Ovis aries: one gene and its partners. The protein of the gene in region 3 purifies or fractionates together with the protein of the main gene of each other region. This does not show direct contact. Links are inferred from orthologs where the notes say so. Each region holds a gene or a part of one and is shown on either strand. Other genes may lie near its edges.

Region 1 (4,586 bases), on a different chromosome or scaffold from region 3:
TATCATCACACTGGCTCTTCACAGTCCTGGTATAAGTGGTCATTCTTATTCCCCAACTCACAGAAGAGGAAATGGGGGTGCAAAGAGGTTAATTAGCTAAGATCTCATCAGATAGTTGTGGAGTGAAGGCTTAAATCCAGATGCTCAGCCCCCCAGCCCATGCCTGAGCCACTAAGCCACAGTGCCCCCTGAAGAAGGGAGCTGGTGCCTGGAAGGGGGCTCCCATAGTGAGTATCGGGGGTACATTGATGTGTCTGTGTGTGTGCCTGGGGCAGTCAGTGTAGGCTAGGTCCCACACTCTCTGGGAAACTGCCAACAGATGTAGCATCCCTGAAGTCCTCCCTCACTCTCTGGACCAAGCAGGGCCTCTGGTCCTTCATCTACTTGGTCTATACGCCTCCCCTCACTCCCTTCCTGCTGCAGACTTCACACTTCATCTTTATTTCCATCCCTCTCCCATATCTAGGCAGGATTATGGGGGGACAGGGTCTCCCCGACACCGCCAATTCACAGCCAGCGCACAGCATCTTTCTAGGATACACTCACTCCCAGAGAATCAGTCTGGATACAACAATCAATAGTTCCAGAAGTAACCAAGTGGACAGAACTTTCTCCAGCTTGGCTTCTGATTTGTGATTGGAGAATGGCCCCTGGGTGGACCCACCCCAGGCATTCTGTGCTTGCCCAATTTCCCGGATCATCCCACCGCTCCTTCCCAGGATGCACGTCCAGAGGAGCTCTCTGCAGTGTGAAATACTACAGAAGTGGGCAGTGGGAGGATGGGGAGACGAGGAAGGGCTGAGCATGGAGCCCTGGACTCAAAAGGAACAGGTCCCAACCCAGAGCCCCTCACTTTCTCCCCAGCCCTGCCTCACATCCTTTCTTCACTCCTCCTCCAAGTGCCCCAGTCCCCCCTAAGATCTTACATCCCTTCTTCCTGCAGCCAGCGTCTGTAACACACCCTCCCCAATAAACACAGCCCATCTCAGTCTCTGTGGGGCTCCCCTTGTGCATTTCAGAGGTGGCTTAGGCTGCCTCCCTCCACAGGTGGCCCTGAAAACCTGCCAAAACGCTGATGCCCGGCTCTGGGCCAAAAGGAGACGCCTGTCATGCCCTTTAATCTGCTCTGCCAGGTGCTACCAGCCCGCTTACAGAAGCTCAAAGGCACTGGGTGATTCATCCTGGGTCACACAGCCAGACACAGCAGGGACAACAGGTGACACACAAGACTACCGCCTGGGCTGGAAAGGGTTTTCTGGCATCTGCCTGGCTCCTGGCAGCTTTGTGCAAGGCAGCTTCCTGCCCAGGGTCCCCACCCCTCCCAGACCTGCTGCCTGAACCACCCAGAAGCTCCTTCCTCCTGCGCTGGCAGAGCCTGGACGCCACGCTTAGGGCACACACTGCCTCCAGGAGCCCCAGGGGAGGAGGAGTTCCTTCTGCCACAAGAACCTGGCATTGAAGGTAAGGGGGATAGGGGGGCACCTTCCTACCTGCCCCAGAACACCAGGCTGAGAGGCACTAAGCGTGGCAACAGCCTGGACACTTGCCTACACCCACTCAGTGAGAGAGCTGAAAGGGGCAGCCAGGCATGGAGGGAGGCCATTTTACAGATGGGGAAACTGAGGCACGGGGAGGGGAACAAATGTCCAGGAGGTACGGAGGGCAAGCCTTGTTTCATCACACCCTAGGTCTTCAAGCTACGGGTAGGTGCAGAGCCCTGGGTAAGAAACTCCTTCAGCCAGCTCAGGAGAAAGAGTCAGTGTTCTGAAGCTAGCTTGTGGAATCGGAAAGTCTGGAGAGATAGGAGCGGAGAGTCCTTCCCTCCCTGGACTCATTTCTGCTCCTATATTGGGGGGGTGTGTGGTACACACTCTCCTCACAGGGACACTGAGAGGACTGAGTAAGGGAAGCCTGGAGGGAAGCTCCTGGAATGTTCCCCTCATCCCCAGACCACCCACCTAGAATCACAGCAGGGAGACCCATGGGCACAGGGCTCACCATGTGCTCCCGACGCTGGGCTCTGAGCTCTGAAACTGCTGCATTTAATCCTCACAGCAGCCCAGCGAGGTACAAACTGTCACATCCCCATTTTACAGATGGGGAAACAGGCATGAAGCGATTAAATGACTCACCTGAGATCTCACAGCCAGTGAGTGGGGATGCTGGGTTCCCTGGTCTAAACCTGTGTAGTAGAGGAACCTACAGGCTATTCGCCAGGCACAGTCCCATAGCTGGGGCCAGGGGATGAGCGGAGGACAAAGACACACTTGTCCACTGGCTCAACAAATACCGAGTGTACATGGCGTGCCAAGGGTGTGTAGGGCGGTGCACACAGCATGATGCCAACTGCCTCAGGCTTCTAAATGGACTCTAACCCACTGAAAAGCCCAAGGCGACTGGCATCAAACTACATGCACCACCCCAGTAGGGCCCCACTGGCCTCAATCCCACACTACCACCCTGGCCACCACCAGTGCCCCCAAAAGCCAGCCGTAGCTCCTGGATGGAGCCACAGGTCCCAGGAAAATTCAGGCAGCCTGTGGGTCGAGTTAGCTGGCCGGAAGCCAGATCCAGCGGAAACAGAAACAGGCCTGAGGCTGGCCAGGAATTGCACCTCCTCCCACCTGGAGAAGCTTGGTGAGCAGGTGTGAGCAGAGGGCTGTGCAGATCAAAATCAAGAGCCTAGTATGTGCCCAGTGCTTTACATAAGTGAGTTCCACATCCCTGGCAATGAGCTGGAAGTGGGACTTCCAAGGCCTTAGGATGCAAATGAAACTACCCCATGTTTCAGAGAGATGGACCAGCTTGCCTGAGGCCACACAACCCTCTATAGATTTACTCTCTGACCCTGGGCCTGTGCCCATGCCACCCATATCAGCCTTAGGTAGCTGTGTCAACTGCAGTCAGGACCCATTTTCTTTCCAGGGAAGGCGAGAGCGGTTTTGTGTCTGCTTGGTGACTTGAGGTAGATGACCAGTTTCTCTATCTGCCAGCTGAGCTCATAACATTCTCTACCCCTTGCATCTTCAGCAGTGGGCCTTTTGTTTGTTTGTTTTTTAATTTTTTTTTGGCTATGCTGGCTCTTCGCTGCTGCTTCCTCTTGCTGTGGCAAAGGGGCTACTCTAGTTGTGGTGCACGGCCTGCCCATCGCAGCGGCTTCTCTGGTTACGGGCCACGGTCTCTAGGGCACAGGCTCCAGCAGTCACTGTATGGGATAGTTGCCCCACAGCATACGGAATCTCCCCTGACCAGGGATCGAACCTATGTCCCCTGCACTGGCAGGCAAATTCTTAACCACTGGACTACCAGGGAAATCCCAGCAGTGAGCATTGGGCATTTCAAGGTGGCTCCATCAGTGGTAGCTCTTGCTACTGATGAAGCAGCAACTGAGAGCTCCCCAGTGGATTGCAGGCCAGCAAAATCATGCCATCCCCTAGAATGTCGGCATCAATGCCACCCCAGCTTGGATGCAGGATGCTGTGGTTTATGAGCTGGGCACAAAGACTCTCTCAGGGATATGGAGCACAGGGCTGCGTGCCGCCCAGAAGGAGCACCGCTGGACAACGTGAGCAGGCAGTCCAGTGTCCAGCCGATGGACTTAGTCCTTGTTTGTTCCTCTGATAACTGGGGTGACCTTGGTTAATGTTTACCAGCAGCCTCCCCCTTCGCCCTTCTGGGTCCAGTGGTTAAATAGGGGCAAGGACAGGGCTCTGTCTCCTCAGCCTCAGTCAGCAGCCCTGACCTGGGACAGTGAATCGTAAGTATGCCTTCCACTGGCCAGGGGCCTCCAGGACCCTGCGCTCCCCAGGCAAGCCTTGGGGATGCAAGGAGGATGGAGCAGGCTGGGGCCAGGCCATCTGCTGTCATAGTAACAGCAGCCCAGGGGTCCTTTCCTGCTTCCCAAGCCTATCCAGGGCCTCCCCAATTCCTCCTGGTGACTAAAGGGGCCCTCTGCGAGCAGAAGTGGAAGTGAGGGGGTGGGGGCTGGCTTTGGCATCCAGCGACCTAGGAGGGAGTATGTTTCTGCTGGCGCAGCTCCTGTATCTTTCCCGTCGGTGGTCTTCTGTAGGTCTTGTCCCGTCGGTGTCTTCTGTAGGTCTCGCCGCCTCTGCATTTGCTTGGGTGTGTATCTTTTCTCGCTTCTACAGATGAGAACGATAAGGCTCAGGGAGGGACAGTGAGTAGTCCAGGCTCACAGAGCAACCTGGTAGGGAAGCCAGGTCGGACGGGAAGCTCTGAGTTTCAGCTGCCTCCATTCTCTGCAGAAGTGCCCAGAACAGAACCGTACCAGGTCTTAGCCTGGAGTTACCGAAGCGGGCACCCCTGTGCACAGCGGGCCCCTGGCCATCTTTGTGTGCCGCGGAAGATGGGGAGCGGGGGAGACCACTGTCCTGGGTGTGGGCTTTGAGTGTATTCCTGAGCCCCCACTCTGCACAGGCAGCCTCTATTTAAGCCTCATGGCAATCCTCTGAGGTAGTTACCGTGATGTTCCCATTTGACAGATGAAGACTTCTGGGACAGGGAGGTTCATCCCTTGCCCCCAGTTACACCATCTAGGATTCAATCTTAGGCTGAATCCCCTTCAG
Region 2 (4,586 bases), on a different chromosome or scaffold from region 3:
AGGCAAATGATGGGAAAAGTGTGATGGCAAGACTAAGTTAATCTGCAGACTAGGAAACAGAGCTTTAATATATGTAGTATCACAATCTAATGAACAATCTCAAGATACCAAAGGAAATTACAGGATCTAACAGCAATTGTTTCTATATTAGCCATCAGAAACATCCAGAATAAAGAGTAATTCTAAAGCAAATACTCGAACAGATATTCTGTTCGAATAGCCTGAACAGACAGCCAACTCACTACAAATAAAGATCTAATACTGTAATAATTAGTTTAACTGGTAGATATGCACTTATTTTCAAACCCTGATATACTCTTCCCCACCCAAATCATCCACGCCTGCAATAAGAACAACTACTCACAATGATAGAACATTTAACATTTTAAAGTGTTTTAAAATATTATTATCTCATGTGATTTTAATTATCCTGTGAGATGAGGAGGCTGACCAATACCATCCCCATTTCACACATGATGTAACTAAGAGACTTGGATGATTTTTAAATGGCCTGCCTAATATCACACAGCTTGCAAAGGGAGGCTCTGAACTCAAACCTAGAACTCCTAATTTCACACATGGTGTGAAGAGTTTAACCTCAGGCAAAATCAAGCCTTGTTTGTTTGGATCGAGCTAAAGCTCCCAGTGAAGGCCTTGTGAGTGCAGAAGGAAGAAGGCAGTGATAAGGGTTCACGGGACTCCTTTACGATCATTAAATTCTTAAGAATTGCTAACTATTAAAGTTGAAACAACTCAGAATTGTTTACTGCATACTAATTGCATCCAGGATTGTAGAGTCCTCAACCTTGTGAGACAGGCATATAAACAAGTGCAAGTATGAGATGAGAGATATAAAAAAAAGTATTTACAGATACTCTAGGGACACAAAGGAGGATGAATCCGAGAAGGCTACACAAAAACTGCATACTGAAAGACAAGCTGGAGCTCAACGGGTACAAAGTGAATGAAACACCTCTGTGACAGAGGAACAGCAGGTGTAGAAACAGACTTTTGAGCCTAGAACAAAAAAAACCCATCCCTCTTTAGCATTCTAATTACTGGAAAGGACTGTCTCTCACTGTAATCTAATAAACTGGCGTTTTCTTAGATGTCAGTCTTTGAGAGGATGATGTGATCCCTGGGAGATGGGTTAGAGCACTTATTGAGTTTCTGAACTGGATCACAGGGATAACACCAAGGTGGTGACTGTGCCACATGGTGCTGGATGGACTACATATGGACATCCTCTCTGACTCTCCCTGGACAACTAGCGGATCCAGTCTCCTCTCAATCTATACTACTAAATCTGAACCAGTGATTCCTAAATATAGGAACTGGACGCATCAAATCAAAACCATACAGGCAACTTTGTAACATAGCCTTGGTGATTCTGATTTGGTATATGCTGAGGATCTTGAGAATCTCTTTAAAAGTTCCAGGCTGCAGAATCATTGCTTTGTACTCCCCCACTGCCCCCCAACACTTATAATCAAATATTCCCACTGAGTTATTTGAGATAGTATATAGCAGGATTAGCTACTTAAAAGTAAGAAAAACAAGTTTAAAAACTGCAACATTAAATGGCAGTTGTGATGGGCCACTTACTTGAAAGTGTTTAAAGATTAATTCAGGATTGAAGTACAACTGAAAAGGTGTGATCAGTTCCAACTGCTGAAATAGAAAAACAACTTCTTCAAGCAAGTCAATCAAGAAACAAAATATCATCATTTACTACAAAAGACTGGCAGTTCTCGCAAATTTCCCACTCTCAGTGACTTAGACTGAATTATTTAAGGTTTACTTCTTAAGCTGGAGGAAGGTTGGTAAAGAGTTCTCTAGAACTGGCACAATTCTTTGCGTTCCCCAATACCTAACACAAAATAAAAGTCTGTTGTTTCAATAGCTGAGGCTGATGTGAAGGTATGGCAGGCAGGTGGTAATGTCTTAAATTCAGGGCAAGTAAGACCAGCTGCTAGGATTATGCCCAATACATGGGCATCACCTAAAACAACTGTGCGAAGCAACAGAATTCACTCGAACCAAGACTCAACACCCTGCCACTGTGAGGGCTGAGTACTTCCAGCCAACCTCTGTAAGTCTCTTTATTTCAAGACTTTTCCCGCTCAACAACTTCCATCTTTCTATCTTCAACGTCTACGTTTCTCCACTAAGCGGACCTTCCTCCCAGTAGTCACAAAGGATCATTCTGTGGCTCTGAGAACACCATCAGAGTTCTCTGACACGTTTCCTGGGTGGGCGGCTCCCGCAGCCCTGACTTGGTACAGGTCCTGCCTTTATGTCTCAGAAACTGACCCGCAGTCCTGATCCTCCACCCCTTATGGAACAGCACCTCTTTTTCTGGATCACTGGATAGTACTTACGGGGCGATACTGAACCCCAGAGTGAGCCCTGTACGCCTCCACCCACCCTTGAGACCAACCACTCTGAGCTTCCCCAAGGCCCAAACCCCAGTTTCCCGAGGACCCGGGCATATCCAGTACAACTCATGAGAAGCTGGCGCTGCAGCTGCTCACCACAGCGGCGGTGGTGAGGACGCAGGCGGTGGTATAGGCACGGCTGACCGGTGGGATCTGCAGGTACTCCAGCCGGAGGCTCTGGTACGCCATCTTCCCCACCGCCGCCGGCCCCCCCCCACCCCCCACTTCCCCTTCCGCCAGTCCATCCCAGCGGCGGGGCGGGATCAGGGCGGAACCAGAGCGGGGCCCTCCCCGTTACGCTGCTATCCAATCAGCGCTGATCAACCGTCCAGCCACCAACCGCTAGAGCCCGAAGAAAAGCACATCCGCCAATCACGAGTTGCGTTTCCGCGGCGGCCCAGCCTAACTTCTCCACCCACCAACGTCTTGGGGAAGGGAGTGAATACCGATTCCTTCTGCCAATCCCCGCCGGCCACAGCTAGCTTTCCCGCCCGGCTCCTTTCCGTCACCAATCTAGGTGGCCCCCTCCCCAGACAGTCGGCCAATTAGGAGCGCGGGGGCATCCTGCCCTTGCTGTCGTTCGCTAAAGCAGAGAGCGGTCAGAATCTGGGGGAGTCAACCGCGCCGCCTATCTCTGGCAGCCTGCGGTGGTTTAAAGAGGTGGCGGGAAGCTGGTGTTTGGTCGAATTCATCACTCTTATAGTCGCTTGGGTAAGTATCCACGGGGCTGCATTTTCTCTGAAGAAAAGCGGGAACAGGTGGCACTCGGTGGGGCGCCATCCCGGGCGCTAGAGCGGCCTGATGGAGCAGCGTCTCCAGCGGGCCGCGAACCTCCACCCTGAAGGTCCCGGCATGCAGCGGGGGCGCGGGGCCTGTCGGGAGCCACTTCTCAAGCCGGAAGTAGTTCCTGCCCGGAGGTTTCTGGAGCTTCGGCTCCTCAACTCGCTGAGGTGACCGGTGTACTTCCCGCGTATCACCTGCAATATCGGTTGAAGCCTTACTCATCCTGCCCTCAGGAAATCTAAGGCTTGCAGAGAAGATAGGCTTGTGATAATAGTAACCTAAAGCAGGACTTGGGGTCGCAAAGAGTAGGTCACGACTGAGCGACTTGAACTGAACTGAAAGCAGAACTTGATCAGTTCCCGAAGAGAGGCCCTGTTGGTTTAACGTGGATTTTTTAGTTTGGAGGCTTGTTTAGGATTGGGTAGAGCTCATGAAAAGCAGTCCAGTATTGGTAGAAACTGCTGAAGCAAGAATTTCAGAGAATCTTGCTGTAACAAATTGTTGGCGAGATTCCCTGGACTAGGAAATGGCAACACACTCCAGTATTCTTGCCTGGAAAATTCCATGGACAGAGGCTCCTGGCGGCCTGCAGTCTATGGGATCTAAAGAGTCAGACACGGGGAGAGCACGCATGCCACGCATCCCATTAAAGAGTTCATCAGTCTTTGGCTGGGGGTTTCATAATGAACAACCATTTGGACAATAAAAATAATATTCTGGTCAAGAATAGTAGAGTCATGCTAATGGAAACAGTAAGTTGTTGGGTGGGGCAAGGAGGCTCTTTGGTAGTTTCAGTCCTCAGTGTTCAACCTGTGTGTGTGTATGGGTGGGGCAGGGAGGAGGGGGGGAGGGGGTTAGATGTTTTTGGTTTTCAAGAAACAACGCTGTAAAACCATTTCACCAGATTGGCAAAAATTAGAAGCATTAATTACTTCACATGCTTATGTAAGGCATCTGGTTCCATCACTTCATGGGAAATAGATGGGGAGCAGTGGAAACAGTGTCAGACTTTATTTTGGGGGGGCTCTAAAATCACCGCAGATGGTGATTGCAGCCATGAAATTAAGAGACACTTACTCCTTGGAAGGAAAGTTATGACCAACCTAGAGAGCATATTCAAAAGCAGAGACATTACTTTGCCAACAAAGGTCTGTCTAGTCAAGGCTATGGTTTTTCCTGTGGTCATGTATGGATGTGAGAGTTGGACTGTGAAGAAAGCTGAGCACCGAAGAATTGATGCTTTTGAACTGTGGTGTTGAAGACTGTTGAGAGTCCCTTGGACTGCAAGGAGATCCAACCAGTTCATCTGAAGGAGACCAGTCTTGGGTGTTCATTGGAAGGACTGATGCTGAGGCTGAAACTCCA
Region 3 (4,486 bases):
ATAATTGATTTACAGTGTTGTTTTAATTTCTGCTGTAGAGCAAAGTGACACACATATATACATTCTTTTTCATAATTATTTTCCATTATGGTTTATCACAGGATATTGGATTAGTTCCCTGTGCTATACAATAGGACCTTGTGTATCCATTCTGTACATAATACTTTGCATCTGCTTGGGCTTCCCTGGTGGCTCAGATAGTAAAGAATCCACCTGAAGTGTGGGAAACCTGGGTTCGATCCCTGCATTGGGAAGGTCCCCTGGAGAGGGGAATGGCTGCCCACTCCAGCATTCTGGCTGGAGAATTCCACTGGCAGAGGAGCCTGGCAGGCTACAGTCCATGGGGTCACAAAGAGTTGGACACGACTGCTCGACTTTCACTTTTGAATCTGCTAGCTTCAAACCTCCAGTCCTTCTCTTCTCCACCTCCCCTCCCCCTTGGCAATCACAAGTCTGTTCTCTATGTCTGTGAGTAGATTTCTGTTTCATAGATAAGTTCATTTGCATCATATTTTAGATTTATGTGATATAATAAGGTATTTGTCTCTTTCCAAATCACTTCATTTAGTATGATAATCTCTAGAGGTCCATCCATGTTGCTGCGAATGCCATTATTTCATTCTTGTTCACAGCTGAGTAGTATTCCAGTGTGCGTATGCACCACATCTTTATCCATTGATCTGTCAATGGACATTTAGGTTGTTTCCATGTTTTGGTTTTTGTAAATAGTGTTGCTGTGAACATAGGGGGTGCATGTATCTTTTTTAATTATAGGAGAACATACTTTATATGATTTAAATTTTTAGCTCTTTGAATTTATCATAATGACTACTTTAAAATGTTTCTCTCTGAAATCTAACATCTGTCTCCTCTCACAGGCATTTTCTGTTGCCTGCTTTTTCCGTGTATGGATCACACTTTGTTTCTTTGCATGTGCATCTCATAATTTTTTGCTGAAAAGTGAACAAAAATATATTAAAATATACCTAAAATATTTTAGGTAATATATTGGAGCAAGTTTGGATACTAATTCTTGGCCTCCACCATGAGACATGTTTTGGTCATTTGCTTGTTTCTTTCGTGACTTGGCTGAGCTATTTTAGTGAGGCCTACTCCTCTTGCAGTATGAAGCCCTGTGTCACTCCTCTGAGGGCACAGCCATGGGCATGCACACAGCCGCAGTTCATGATGGTGTGTCAGCAGGGCTCCCTGTGACTGTCTCTCTTGCTGATGTGTTAATCTGTCTGCCTCTGCCTATATCATACCCAGCTGTTCATACTCATTAATTGCTAGCCAATTGCTCTGTAGTTTTTGACATGTGGGGCATAAGTTGCGCCATAATCTGATCCAATTAAATTTGGGCTTCTGTACCAGGGTTGTTTTTTATGATGCCAGCCTCTTCTTTAGTGCTTACCTCCAATTTTTTTCATTTTTTGGAAAGTGCCCTTAGGCTTAAACTTCCTCATACTGTTTCACAAGAAGTCAGTTCATTTGGAAAGACCTTTGGAGCTTTCTGTTCTAGTGGATTGCCTCTCCCCCTGGCAGAATCTCTAAGCCCCTGCTCTGGAGCTGATGTCAGAGACACTGACCCAGTTCTGTCAGAGTGACGCTCCTGTTTTATGAGCAGAGACCTGGGCAGGGGTGATAGCCTCTGGTCCTCTCAGTTCTCATCTCTGTTGTGAAGCCTCTGCCCTTTCAGTGATCTGTGGTGAGGGTGATCAAGGCCCAGTATTCCTGTCCTTCTGCTCCTGAGGTGCAGCCACTGTCCTATGAGCGGGGCTGGGTGGAGGGAGTCCTCAGTCTCTTGACCGTATTCAGCAGGTATTCTCTGCAACTTGTAACTAGAGAGGATTGAGGAATATTGGTGGCCTGCCCCTCTGGTGACATACCATATCTCTTGACTGGTTGCTGAGGGGATAGAAGCCCCATTTTTTGGAACTTACTCACCTGGAATGGAGCATCTGTCTGAGCTGTGAAGTCAGGGTTGAGAGAAAAGAAGGAGGGTCATGGCCCAAGTACTATAAACTTACACTATTCAAGATTTAGTGGATTTTCTTGAATAGATGTTTCTTAATTTGTTGTACGTCCTTAGGAAAATTTCCAGAGATTTTAAATGCCTGAGTTAAAAAAAAAAAAAAAAGTGTTCACCAGTTATGGAATTTCACTAGGGAGTGGATCTGCAGAGCTCCTTGGGCGGCCACTCAGAAGTGGGACCTCTCTTCTACTTGTAACAGTTACTTTAGAAATTACAGAGTGTGTGTGTGTGCAAGCTCAGTCGTGTCCAACTCTTTGCAACTCCATGTCACACAGAGTCGGACACGACTGAAGCGACTTAGCAGCAGTAGCAGCAGTAGCAGCCCTGCCAGGCTCCTCTGTCCATGAAATTTCCCAGGCAAGAATATTGGAGTGGGTTGCCATTTCCTCTTCCAGGGGATCTTCCTGAACCGAGGATCGAACCCACATCTCTTGCATTGGCAAGCGAATTCTTTACTGCTGAGCCACCAGGGAAGCCCCAGAAATTACAGGGGTGAATCCTAACTAATCAAAGGCTAACGTTAATTGATATCTTTACTCTCTTTCTGATTAATACAAAGACCTTAGAACTGTTTAAAGTTTTTTTAAATCATACACACATGCACACACACACAGAATATACATATTTCAAATACATATAAAAATATATATCAAATATGTATAAGTATGTACATACTGTATTTACATAAAGCAAGAACATGAAACAGAAATCAGCTGGTTACCTACAGTTAAGTTGCCCAAGTTCAATTCGTATTTTTACCACTTACCAGCTGGTCAGCCTGAACAAGTCCCTCAACTATATCAAACCCCTGTATCTTGAGCCACAGAGTTGAGATAATGTTACCTCCCTCACTGGGTTGTCATGATAATTAAATGAGCTAATGCATGTAAGGGCTTCCCTGGTGGCTCAGAGGTTAAAGCGTCTGCCTCCAATGCGGGAGACCCGGGTTCTATCCCTAGGTCGGGAAGATCCCCTGGAGAAGGAAATGGTAACCCACTCCAGTATTCTTGCCTGGAGAATCCCATGGATAGAGGAGCCTGGCAGGCTACAGTCCACGGGGTCGCAAAGAGTCAGACAGGACTGAGCGACTTCACTTCACCTCAATGCATGTAAAGGGCTCCCCTGGTGGCTCAGTGGTAAAGAATCCACCTGCCAGTGCAGGAGACGGGGGTTCCATCCCTGGGTCAGAAGATCTCCTGGAGAAGGAAACGGCAACCCACTCCAGTATTCTTGCCTGGGAAATCCCATGGAGGGAAGAGCCTGTCAGGCTATAGTCCATAGGGTTGCAAAAAAGATCCAATGTAGCAACTAAACACTAACAATGCATATATAGCACCATATACACAAGGCACAGAGCACAGTGCCTGCCAGACTGTAAGTCCTCAATAGCAGACAACTGTTTTCAGAATAACAGTAATGGTTGGTGGTGATTACTATTTATTCATCCTCCTGTCCTGGCAGTTCCTCTGTGATGAGGGTGCTGGTATCTCTGGGGACTACATTGACCGAGTAGATGAGCCCTTGTCCTGTTCTTACGTGCTGACCATTCGAACTCCTCGGCTCTGCCCTCACCCACTCCTTCGGCCCCCACCCAGTGCTGCTCCCCAGGCCATTCTCTGCCACCCCGCCCTGCAGCCTGAGGAGTACATGGCCTACATTCAGAGGCAAGCTGGTGAGTACTTAAAGGAGGACAGGGAGGAAGCAGACACAGAGGGAGGGACAGGCAGAAGATCAAGTATCAAGGAGCTGAGAACGTGTCCTCGTCCCGCGGACATGCCATCTTCCGGTAGACTCAAAGCAGTACGGAGACAGGGCCCTAGAGGGGCGGCGGCAAGACCCGGACCCTCCAGTGTGGAGTGAGACCAAGCCTGGGGTGGTGCCACCAAAGAAAGCAGGTAGGTCCTTGAGTCACCTGTTTCGTGACACACGTCTCCACTTCTTCCTTTCTTCAGTGTTACTGTCCTGTGCACCCAGGGATGTGTTGTCTTCAACAGCCCAACAGCCCTGACTTTTGGGGTGGGGGAAGGAGTACTACAGGCCCTAACCCCTCACAATAGAAGAGGGAAACATATCCCATCTATCCTTTCAGGTTTCTCTTTGTTTTCTGTATTCTAGGTGCAAGCCCAGCCAAGGAGAACAGTAAAGAATCAGATTTCTGGAAGATGCTTCACGAGCCAGAGGAACAGCCCCAAGAAAGGGAGGAGACACAGGCTGAGGTGAGAGCCAGCTTCCTAGCCACCTCTCTGAGGAGGCTGAACATGGGCTTTGGGTCGGAGGGCCACTCAAGCCGAGGTTCATTATGAGATGACCTCTTTTTATCTAGGGATGCAAGACCATACCCAGAGGCAGTGCCTTAAGAGTTTGGTTGGCATGCAGAGAAGCCTGTGTACTTGACTCTGCCCTTTTCTCCCCATCAGGAGCAGGAACCAAACCTTGAAGCCATAGACCCAC

What was found.
Region 1: the proteins of OS9 (region 3) and SERPINA1 purify together in Homo sapiens (affinity purification with western blotting; 4 studies listed by BioGRID). This does not show direct contact. The link is inferred for Ovis aries from reciprocal best matches to the Homo sapiens genes OS9 and SERPINA1.
Region 2: the proteins of OS9 (region 3) and DERL2 purify together in Homo sapiens (affinity purification with western blotting; 3 studies listed by BioGRID, with this or other methods). This does not show direct contact. The link is inferred for Ovis aries from reciprocal best matches to the Homo sapiens genes OS9 and DERL2.

Annotation. Positions count from the first base shown.
Region 1 is NC_056071.1:56,847,426-56,852,011, reverse strand, and holds the start of SERPINA1 (alpha-1-antiproteinase), read left to right. Parts: upstream 1-1,370; 5' UTR 1,371-1,461; intron 1,462-3,688; exon of another isoform or gene 3,689-3,757; intron 3,758-4,586.
Region 2 is NC_056064.1:25,956,068-25,960,653, reverse strand, and holds the start of DERL2 (derlin-2), read right to left. Parts: upstream 2,655-4,586; 5' UTR 2,628-2,654; coding exon 2,535-2,627; intron 1,672-2,534; coding exon 1,606-1,671; intron 1-1,605.
Region 3 is NC_056056.1:161,936,775-161,941,260, reverse strand, and holds part of OS9 (protein OS-9), read left to right. Parts: intron 1-3,496; coding exon 3,497-3,707; intron 3,708-3,825; coding exon 3,826-3,930; intron 3,931-4,150; coding exon 4,151-4,251; intron 4,252-4,452; coding exon 4,453-4,486. UniProt on the Homo sapiens protein: Lectin component of the HRD1 complex, which functions in endoplasmic reticulum (ER) quality control and ER-associated degradation (ERAD).